Macaca fascicularis: one gene and its partner. The protein of the gene in region 1 interacts with the protein of each later gene in a pairwise test. Links are inferred from orthologs where the notes say so. Each region holds a gene or a part of one and is shown on either strand. Other genes may lie near its edges.

Region 1 (5,600 bases):
AAGCTCTATGGGAAGGAAGGCATGTGGTCCAAAGCCCAATATATTGAGGGCTGTGAGGGGGCAGAGGGTCCTGGGTTCAAATCCCACCTCCACCATCAACTGCCCAGCTCACCTGGCTCCATCCATGGACTTCAGGGATGCTCTGTGCCAAGGGGCAGAAGCCAGGGGAGTGGAGAGCAGGCCCAAGGGGCCAGAGGAGATGGGGGAATGATTGGGGGGTTGTAGAGTGACCCGAGGGGGCAGGGAGGGCACTGACCTTCACCCACTGCCAACTGCCCACACCTGCATTTTCCCACAGCGGAGACAACAGGCGGGCTCAGCGGGGTCAGGTGGTTGTGTGTGGCCTGGACCAGGTGCTGGCCCATCTTCATTGAGCTTCCCTGACCTCACCTGTGCCCACCTCCCAGGAGTGTTATTTGGGCTGAATAAGCAGCAGCCTGCCTCTTGTCCCTGTGGACTTCCTGGCCCCTGCCTTTGCTTGCCTGGCCTGATAACATGGCAGTCACAGGGTTCTGCAGTCAAGTCGGCCAGACCTCTGGGTACAGCTGCGAGAGGCAGTCTGTCCTCCAGGGCCCTCTGACCTCTGACCTCTGACCTCCCCCTTCAGGCCCTCACCCCCCTCGGCAGTGCAACACCCTCCCCTCTCAGCCCTCCCGCCTCTCACTCAGGCCTTCCCTGCCTGCTCCCCACAACTCACTCTATGCCCCTAGCATCAGATCCAGGCCCATCTATGTTGCTGGCTTCTGGTCCCACTGCCTGGCCCACAGGGGCACCCAGATACTGATACTTGTCCATTGAATGAGGAACACAAGTAAAATCTCCCTTTCCACCCCTCAGAGTTCTGTGAAGGTGTAAGGTGTGCACCTGACCTGTGCAATTGGAAGGCATTTGATGAACAGGACCCCGACATTGGGAGCTATCCGGGTCGAGTGCTTGTGCTGGGTAGGACGGGAGCTGCACACAGCTGGGCCCGGGGAGGGCGGGGGGCACAGATGCTCTGCAGACACTTCCGGAGCAGGGTCAGGGCCACCGACACTGGGCCAAAGCATGCTGCGATGAGAAGCCTGGCCCACATCTGTACCGAGTCATAAAGGATGAGAAGAGTCAGCCAAAGGGGACAGTGTGGCTTTAAGCCGTAAGACATCTTGGGACACACGGGTCAGCAGGGACTCTGCCAGGCCCCGCAGGAGACATTCGACATGACTCCGGGTGCACGAACCCGCACCCCCAGTTCTCCCCAGCCCCGCAGCACAGGAATCTCCCCCTTCCTTGGGAACCCCCCACAGCACGACAGGCTCTTAACCCAGTTTTACAGACGAAGCTCACGGAGGCGAGGGGTGGGCCGGGCTGGCGTGCCCGCCGATCGGTCCTTTCCAGCAGCCGCCTCTTTCCCAAGCAGGGCAAGCAGCATATGGGGCCCCGCTCTCCTGCCTCCACACTGGAGTGTCGTGCAAGTCCCACACGAACAGCAAGGCAGGAACGGCCCCGCCGAGCAGAGTCGGGGGCCACGGCCACACCCCCATCTACTACCGTGCAGCTCCGTCGGCCCGGGGGCCAGGGCTCCACTACGAGCACCTCAACCCTCCGGGCCACCCCCAAGCGACTGTGGGGGCCGAGCGCGGGCGGGGCGGGTGGGGTGTGGAGCCGGCCGAGCGCGGGGCGGGGCGGGGCGCGGCGGGCGGGGCGGGCCCGGCGCCTCCCGGCGCGAGGAAGTCCCGGCCCCTGGCTTTGGGGAAGTGCTGCCGAGGCGCCTGCGCACTGCGCCCCCGCGCCCCCTCCCCGACTGTCGGGCCGGACCTTGGAGCGCGCGGGCCGGCGGCGGCGCGAGTGGCTCGGGAGCGCGGCTGGTGAGTGCGCGCGCGCCGCGCCGGGGACAGCGGCCCTGCCCCTCCCGGCCCGGGCCCGGGGACCGTGCGGGGCGGGAGCTTCGGGAGCCGGCGCACGGGACTCGAACCCCAAGGACTCCCGCCGCCAGGTCCACGTGGACCCTGGGCCGCAGTGGAACTGGAGCCCGCCCCCCGCGCTTGGGGGAGGGGGCGCTGCAGCCGGGTTCCCCTTTTTGTGGAGCTCAAAGCCTGGGGAAGTGATTGCTTAAAGGTGGGGGCCGGAAGAACCCAGGTTTCCGCGTCTCCCTCCCCCCCGCCAGCCCGGTGAGGAGGGGCCGGGGCGGGACACCCTGTCCGCCCCCGCCCCCACCCCGCTGGATCTGGCAGCCACTCAGCCCTTCGAGCTGTAGGGGAGGCGCTGCGCCCCCGGCCCCAGCCGATCGGGGGCTCCTGGCGCTAGCCTCCCTCCAGAGCGCCGCAGGAGTCCCTCCTGCCGTCTGACTTGAGTCCCTGCTGCTGCAGTGCACGCCCCTTCGGCAGCCAGGGTGGGGCCCAGACCCAACCTGGCCCCTCCTGCCCCCACCCTGCCTTTGGGTCGCTGGTGAGTAGGGAGCATTGAGGTAGGGGTGGGGGCGTCAGAGGCTGGAGAAAGAGGCACCTGGAGGAGGACACAGGCTCCTCCAGGCGGGACCCTAACAGCAGCCAGAGGAGCGTGGTGGGTGGGTCACCACCACCATTTCAGAGGTGGGGAGAGCTGGCCTTCCTTGGAGGGGCCAGGCCAGGGCTCATCCACCAGCCAGATGTGGAGGGTGGCAGATGGGAAAGGCCCTGGGTGGGCGCTAAGAACTGAGAATGGAGCCCCTCTTCAACCCCTCCCAAAGGTTATGACATTTTTTTCTGGGATTGTCACATTTTCTTATTCTTTTTTTGGACTGGGCAGGCTCTGGGACGTTCTTTTTCCTTCTGTGGAGCAAAGCAGCAGCCACTCCCAAGGGAGCCTCTATCCCCAGAGACCAGACGTGCCGCCTGTCCAGACTCTCCCATCCCAGACTTGGGGGCCAAAGCCTGGGAGGCTGGGGAAGGGGGGTCCCCAATCCCAGGATGACAAGCAGGAGGACCCTAGTTGAGACTCTGTATCCTCCAGGAGAGAAGGGGGTGTAGCCTGGGGACATGGGTTGCCCCAGCTGACCTGAGAAGGGTACAGGAAGCCCAGTCCAGGGACAGGTGACCCGGTCCAGGGCCTGAAGCTGGGAAAGAAGGGGCTGGCTCCCTCCTCTGCAGCAAATGCAGCCCCTAGCACCCCGGCCTGGCACCCCTAAACATGTCCCCTCCTCCAGTTCAGAGCTGGGGTGGACATGGTAGCCCAGGAGGGACAGTCTCCGGGGTGCTAGAGTGTGGGGGAGGACCCTGGGTGGGGGCAGAGAGGAGGAAGAACTGCTGCCTGGGGAAGTCACAGACAGCCCCGTCTGGGCACAGCTACCAAACCTCAGGTTGCCACGCCCCTTCCTTTCCCTAGAAACTTGACCCCTGAAAGCAAGCCCAGCTGCGGGGCCACCTTCTGTCTCCTCATCTACTTGCTAGGAACCTGTGGGACCCACAGTCTCAGAGGAAGCTGGGCAGGCGGTGAGGGGCCGAGGTCCCGGGGGATGCTGCACCTGCCCCAGACTTGGGCCAGGGCAGTGGCCTCTGCATGCCCAGGCCTCAGGGGTATTGGGGGCCCTGAGAGTGCAGAACTCCAGCACTGTCTCCTCTGAGCGCCATTCACACACCGTCCCAGAAGGCCAAGAGAGACCAACCAGACAGAAACAAGCATTCAAAGGCCACAAGCTAAGGGAGGCGTGGCGGGGGGGATGAAGATTGAGAAAATAAAGTAGAACCAAGTTGTGAGCTTCCTGGCCAGGGAGGAGGGTGGTGGACATGCATGGAGGCCCAGAGGGCAGAGGTGGGCGCAGGTGTTCACAACTGCCTCCGGGGCACTGATTGGCCCCCCTGTGCCATTGCCCAAGGAGACCTGGGGTTCAAAGTGGTATCTTAGGTGGCACGAGGGCCACCCACAGCTTTGGCGCTCCTGGTGCACCTCCCCTGCCGATGGTGCAACCAAACGCTGGGAGGTACACGCACCACACCACACCCCTCAGGGACTCTGAGGCTTTGACTGGGGAGGAGGGTGCCTCCACCCACTGCCACCCCCACTTCCCTGGCTGGCGCACTGTGTGGTACGGCCTTGGTTCCACAGCGGTTTCACAGCCTAGAGGCAGTGGGCAAGGAGGGAGGGAAGTCTTGGGAGGGAGGTAGCAGGACCAAAGAACCATGTTTGGGGGGCACGTCCCTCCTCACCAGGGCCCTGCCCCCCTCCCCACACCCTCAGAGAGTCCAGCCCTGAGTCCCACTTAAAACCTCACTGCGGCAGGTCTAACCTGCTGCCCCTGGCTGAGACCTCTGGGACCCGCAGACAGACCTGGACTCTTGGTGGGAGCTGCTCTGCCCACTCCCCACCCCAGACGCCCTAGAAGCAAGTCTGGCCACCACCCGCACGCACAGTTGGTAGCCCCAGACTCTTGGGGCCCCTTTGGGAGGGGCTGGGAGCCGGAAACCGAGAAAGAGGAACCCAGGCTTCCGGCTTCCCAGGGAGTGAGCGGATGGGGGTGTCTCGGAACCTTCTGTGGGGGCCTCATCTGGGGCCCAGCCTGGGAGGAGGGGCCAGAAGTTGCTGCAGCCCCCTCCTCAATGACCCTAGACCCCCTCCCAGCCCTGCTGTAAGCTTGGGGTTGGGGTAGAAGCCCTGGACAGAGCCGGGTCCAGAGGCAGGAGCAGGCCCTGCTAGGGAGACACCCTCTCAGGACCCCTCCTAAGGGACAGGCAGGGGCTGGGGTTTCAGGTTCTCAGTCAGAACCTTGGCCCCTCTCCCTAGACCCCCAGGCTGTGGTGAGGGTCTGAGAGCTGGCACCACGGAGCCTGGGCAACCTCCTCCGCCCACCCATGCCCACCCCGCATGAGGCTGAGAAGCAGGTATGCCACCTCCCCTTCTGCCTCTGCTCCCCTGGGGTAGACGGGGTGGGGCAAGCTGAGGGGCCACAAGGAGTTGGGAGATCCCTGAACACCCGGGAGGCCAGAAGGGTCATGTGCCTGGGAACAGGGCCACCCATGGGAGGGTGGGGGAGAGGTGGAGGGTCTGGTGGGTTCTGACCTGAAGGCTGAGGTAGCCCCATTTTTCCCCAGAACACAGGGCCAGAGGAGGCGGACCGGCCCCCTTCAATGTCCAGTCATGATGCAGCCCCTCCCGCAGCCCCCAGCCGTAACCCCTGCTGCCTATGCTGGTGCTGCTGCTGTAGCTGCTCCTGGTGAGTAGGGCCTGGGGTGCCCAGCTGGAGAGGGGCTGGAGGGCCTGGGGCCAAGCAGACCCAGGAGGGGACCCAGTGGTGGCTTCTGAGGAATCCCCGCAGGTAGGGTGCTCCTGCCACCTCGCGGCGTGTCCTGTCTGGGGTCTGTTGGGCCCTGGTGATGAGTGGCTGGTGCCTTGGGCCCAGGGGGCTTATGTGTGGTTCTTGTACCTGTCTTGCCAAGGGTGTGTCGGTGTGCTGTGTACACGCATGTGCCCGTTCACACGGCATGTGCTTATCCATGCTGCTGTGAGCCAGCCCAGGCTGGGCCCTGGGGGCCTGCGATGGAGTAAGACAGGCACAGGCCGGGCGCGGTGGCTCACGCCTGTAATCCCAGCACTTTGGGAGGCTGAGGCGGGCGGATCATCTGAGGTCAGGAGTTCGAAACCAGCCT
Region 2 (4,860 bases), on another chromosome or scaffold:
GCGCCGATGTCCTTCCGACCGGGCGGCGGCAGCCTCTCATCTCATCCGTACCTTCGGCCCCGGGCACTGGCAGGTGTGCGGGGGCGGGGTCCCAGGGCTGTGGCTCAACCCTCCCTCCCTCCCTCCCCGCCTCCGCGGCGCCGACCCCGGCCCGCCCCCTGCCCAAGCAGCTCTGTCTCGGGGTGGCCGCGGAGCCGTCGCCTCCTCACAAAGCTGCCTTTGTGTCCAGCGGCCTCCGCGGGACCCGCTGACGTCAGCCTCCGTGACCAGCCAGACAGGGCCGAACGCGGGCGGCGGCGCCCCCTGGCGGCCGGAGGCGGAGGCGTTAACCCCGGAGCCCCACCCTGTGGAGGCCGGCTTTTCCCCCAGCCCGTCCCGACACGTTCAGGCCGCGGCTGTCCCTGCTGCCCATAGGAGAAGGTCTAGGCGCCTCGATGGCACTCAGGGCCCGCCCCACAAGCATCACCAGCCTTGTCATCTGCAGTTCCCTTCCCCAGCAACGCGCGGGCCCTTCCCACAGCCTCAGGGAGCTTTCCATCTTCAATGATCTGCAGCCCCCCAGGCCCAGCCTGTGGCAACCATCACATGGTAATACGGGGCCTGTCTGTCACTACCCTTCAGGTTTGACGGGGGCCCTCTGGGGCAGGGACATTTCAGAATATGTCTCAAGGCCCCTAATGGCCTTCGGTTTAGTCAAGCCTGGACTGCATCCAGCCCACCTGGCTGTGTGGACTTGGCAACGCACACTCTCCGGGCTTTGGTACCTAAGTCGTAAGTCACTTTCTCCTTACACGTTAGAGACGTGCCGGACACCCCTCCTGCTCCCGGTGTGGAAGAGCACTTTACAACAGTTTCCTTAGAAGCCAGTCCAGCTGCCCGAGACCCAAAGCTGCAGAGTGCTGGGAAGGCGGGGACACACGGCCCCCACATGTATGCTGCCTAGTCCAGGTGGGAGAAATGAAGCCCAGAGCTTCGGGCTCCAGGACGGCCCGGAAAGCTGAGTCAGGGCCCTGCCCCAGGTTGAGGACTGAGGTTAAGACCACCATCACCTTGGCACACCTTAGCCGGGGCCTCTGCCCCTGGGAGAGAATACCCATCAGTTCTCGGTATTTTTTTTCTTTCTACATTTTATTATTTCAAACCAGGTGAACAATTCCATAAAACATGTGAAAAAAGCAAGGAAGTGTTCAACGCTGAAGGCCCCGGGCCTGGGACAAGGGAATGAGGGGTGTGGCCCCCCAGCAGGCAGCGGCGGTTCCTAGGTTAGCGCTAGGGAGCTACATTTTAGGTTAATGGAGCCTGGGCCCAGGGCCGCTGGGGCAGGGCCCTCAGTGACGTTGGCAGTTGTCTGGAACAGCCCTTGGAACCCAATTCTGTGGAGGGCAGGGCAGGGTTGCGGCTCGCACAGGGGCGGCCAGCAGAGGGATAGGTGTAAACACGCAGACACACTCAAGGCACGGAGTCACTTGAAAGGGGGCTGGAGGGGTTGCTGGTCAGGATCTGACAGTTTTAAATAGTTTTTCTCTAAAAAGTTTTCTAGATTTGCAGTTTTTTTTTTTTTTTCCTTTACTTTCATATTTTTTTTAAAAAGCTACGAGAATGAGTAGGTGGACTGTGGTCTCCAGGAATGGTGGTGTCTCACGCTTCTTGTGCTTTTTCCTTTGGGGCCTCCGAGCGGCTGGGGGGTAGGGGACTGGGCAGGAGGCTCCCTGTAAACATTTGGACTTGGGCTGGGGCAGGGGCTGGTGTTGGGCAAAGCTGGGGGTCCAGGCTGGAGAAGCAGGCGCCCCTCCGGACATAGCCTTGGGAGACTCAGCATGTGCCCCCCTCCCCCCATCACAGAACAAGACAATGGTTAAAAACCAGAACAGATGCCCAGAAAGGGGGTACCATGGCCATTACCAGCACCTCAGACAAGGGCAGGCTTCAAACAAGGAGGCCCGTGGCAACCCCTCCCCTACATCTGGAGCTGAGGGACAGGGGGAGCTGAGAACAAAGAGAGGAAAGAGGAGAAAAGCGGCCAGGGAACAGGCGGGGAGCGTGGTCTTCTTGCCCCCATCTTCTTCAAGGGTTGGGGGGTACAGAGTTGGCGGTGGCCCTAGAGGTGGGGGGAAAGCAGAGCATGGATCGGGAAGCAGCCAGGCCGCGCCTCTCTCCCACCTCCCTAGACAATGACCCTTCTCCATTTTTCCTACCCATTTGTTACCAGGGACACAGTTGCCGCCCAGGAGCCAGCTTCTGTTGCTGGGTTACATGGAGGAGGGGAGTCTGTGGCACTGGGAGAGTCATCCCCACCTCCACCAGGGCCAGTGGGGCCAGCCTAAGCCCAGGAAGCTCAGACAGGTTGGAGGGCAAGAGCTGGAGGTGTGCACAGAGCTGGTGGTAGTGGGCAGGAGGGCTGGGCTCCGCTGGCCCAGGCTGGGCCAATGGCCTGGTGGGTGAGGAGGTGAGATTTCTCCAGGGAACATCAGAATGGCCTCTGGTTCTGTCCCAGGGCAAGGCCAGGCCCTTCTGTCTGGACCACTGGGCCAGGCCTGCTTGTATGACCTCCTCCATGCCCTGCACCCCACTCACTTGACCTCCTGATTCACACCCTGTGCCTCCTCCTCCCTTGTCCCCTGGTCACCTATTGCCCCTCCCCCTCCAGGTTCAAGCCCCTACCCACCCCCAGAACCCCCTGCTGGGGCTCCAGGCCCGCTTAGTTCTTCCCCAGCTCCCTGCCACAGCCCCTCTGGCTCACCATCCCGCCAGGCCCCGCTGCCCCTCAGAAGAGGCCGCAGTCCTTCAGGTTGTTCTTGATGATGACATCGGTGACGGCGTCAAACACGAACTGCACGTTCTTGGTGTCGGTGGCGCACGTGAAGTGCGTGTAGATCTCCTTGGTGTCTTTGCGCTTATTCAGGTCCTCAAACTTACTCTGGATGTAGCTGGCTGCCTCATCATACTTGTTGGCCCCTGGGGAAGAGAAAATGGTGAAGACTTGTGCTGCATATGCAGCAGGCAAGCCCCATCCTACATGTGCAGCAAGGGTCTGTGCGTGTGGATGGCCAGGCATACAACCTGTGCACACATGTGCACAATATGACAATGTGTGTGGCTGCCCATATATGCCAGATGTGCAAAGGGGTACCCTACTGTGTGAAGGAGGATGCCCAGGTGCACATGTTCAGGGGTACATGCTTGAGTGTGTTAAGGGCTCCACATGTGCACACATAACTATACAAGCCTAAGTGAGGCACCAGCCCCTGCAAATGTTCCAAGGCTACACTTCTGTCCAGTGGGGGGCGCCTGAGGGCCACCTGGTCACCAGGGGCTACTGGGGACAAACAGCAACTCTCTGGAGGCCCTGTCCCCACAGTCCCCACACCTGTGTACTCAGGGAAGCAGATGGTCAGGGGACTGTGTGTGATCTTCTCCTCGAACAGGTCCTTCTTGTTGAGGAAGAGGATGATGGACGTGTCTGTGAACCACTTGTTGTTGCAGATGCTGTCGAATAGCTTCATGCTCTCATGCATGCGGTTCTAGGGGCAGAATATCGAGGTCAACACTAGCCACCACTCCCCAAGCCCGCTGCCTCCACCCGCAGCATTCTCTCAGCCTCTCACCATCTCCTCGTCCTCAGCTAGCACCAAGTCGTAGGCGCTCAAGGCTACGCAGAAGATGATGGCTGTGACGCCCTCAAAGCAGTGGATCCACTTCTTCCGCTCAGACCGCTGACCACCCACATCAAACATCCTGCAGATATAGGATCACTTTAGCTCCAGGAAGGGAGCGCTGGGGGAGGCTTTCTGCCCCATTTCCCAGGTTGGCTGACATCTGGAATCATCCACACTTGCCCACCTCACCCCTGGTTCTGGGCCTGGGGCTTGGACAGCAGACAGGCTGCAGCCACATCAGGCAGGAGCAGCAGAGGCTGTGAGCAGTTGGCAGAGGTGGCATGGATCCTGACTGCTGGTTCACCAGGTGGTGAGGATGTGCTGGCCCAGAACATGTGAGCCTCGCAAAACCTCAGTGGGGCTGGGGGATCCTGGACCAGCCCCTGCCTCTGCTACCCCAAAGGCTGGCAGGTCCTGCCCCTCCCACCTGTTTATATGCTCGCTCACTTGAAGTGTAGGTCCTTGAAGGTGAAGTGTGTCTCCACGATCCCCGTGGTCTTTACGCGGGTCCGTAACACATCTTGCTGCGTGGGGATGTAGTCACTCTGTGCAATGCGCTCCAGGTCGTTCAGGTAGCTGGGGGTGGGGGGTGGGAGGGTCAGTGGGGGCCAACATGGGGCCACCTTACCTGGACCCTGGGCCAGCTGGAAGAGGCCCCTTTCCTCCCATGCCATTTCTCAGGCATAGCCCTTGCTTTTTTCCCTTTTTCTTTCTTTTTTTTTTTTGTTTTCTGAGACAGAGTGTCACTTTGTTGCCAGGCTGGAGTACAGTGGCCTGACCTTGGCTCACTGCAACCTCCGCCTTCCAGGTTCAAGCGATTCTCCTGCCTCAGCCTCCTGAGTAGCTGGGACTACAGGCGCAAGCCACCAAGCCCAGCTAATTTTTGTATTTTTAGTGGAGATGGGGTTTCACCATGTTGACCAGAATGGTCTTGATCTCTCGACCTCAGGTGATCCACCCACCTCAGCCTCCCAAAGTGCTGGGATTATAGGCGTCAGCCACCGTGCCCAGCCTAGGCACAGCCCTTGCTTCTTTAACCCCTGCCTGCATTACCTCATTGCTCAAATGAAGAAACCTGAACTCAGAGCCCCCGGCCTCCCACCTGTAGAATGGGAATGGGAGGAGGTGCAGCTCTGTGGACAGCTAGCCAGTGAAGATCTAGTACTCAGGGTCTGAGCCAGGCCTGCCTCGGACAGGATCCAGG

What was found.
Region 2: the proteins of RGS19 (region 1) and GNAI2 interact in a two-hybrid assay, tested with the Homo sapiens proteins (2 studies listed by BioGRID and IntAct). The link is inferred for Macaca fascicularis from reciprocal best matches to the Homo sapiens genes RGS19 and GNAI2.

What each region holds. Positions count from the first base shown.
Region 1 is NC_088384.1:120,216,745-120,222,344, reverse strand, and holds the start of RGS19 (regulator of G-protein signaling 19), read left to right. Parts: upstream 1-1,781; 5' UTR 1,782-1,847; exon of another isoform or gene 1,848-2,427; intron 2,428-4,444; exon of another isoform or gene 4,445-4,582; intron 4,583-4,737; 5' UTR 4,738-4,805; coding exon 4,806-4,835; intron 4,836-5,045; coding exon 5,046-5,167; intron 5,168-5,600. Other genes in the region: protein LKAAEAR1, read left to right, coding at 838-855. UniProt on the Homo sapiens protein: Inhibits signal transduction by increasing the GTPase activity of G protein alpha subunits thereby driving them into their inactive GDP-bound form. Binds to G-alpha subfamily 1 members, with the order G(i)a3 > G(i)a1 > G(o)a >> G(z)a/G(i)a2.
Region 2 is NC_088376.1:113,287,328-113,292,187, reverse strand, and holds the end of GNAI2 (guanine nucleotide-binding protein G(i) subunit alpha-2), read right to left. Parts: intron 4,233-4,860; coding exon 4,104-4,232; intron 3,736-4,103; coding exon 3,606-3,735; intron 3,522-3,605; coding exon 3,368-3,521; intron 2,956-3,367; coding exon 2,765-2,955; 3' UTR 2,741-2,764; intron 2,099-2,740; 3' UTR 1,110-2,098; downstream 1-1,109. UniProt on the Homo sapiens protein: Guanine nucleotide-binding proteins (G proteins) are involved as modulators or transducers in various transmembrane signaling systems.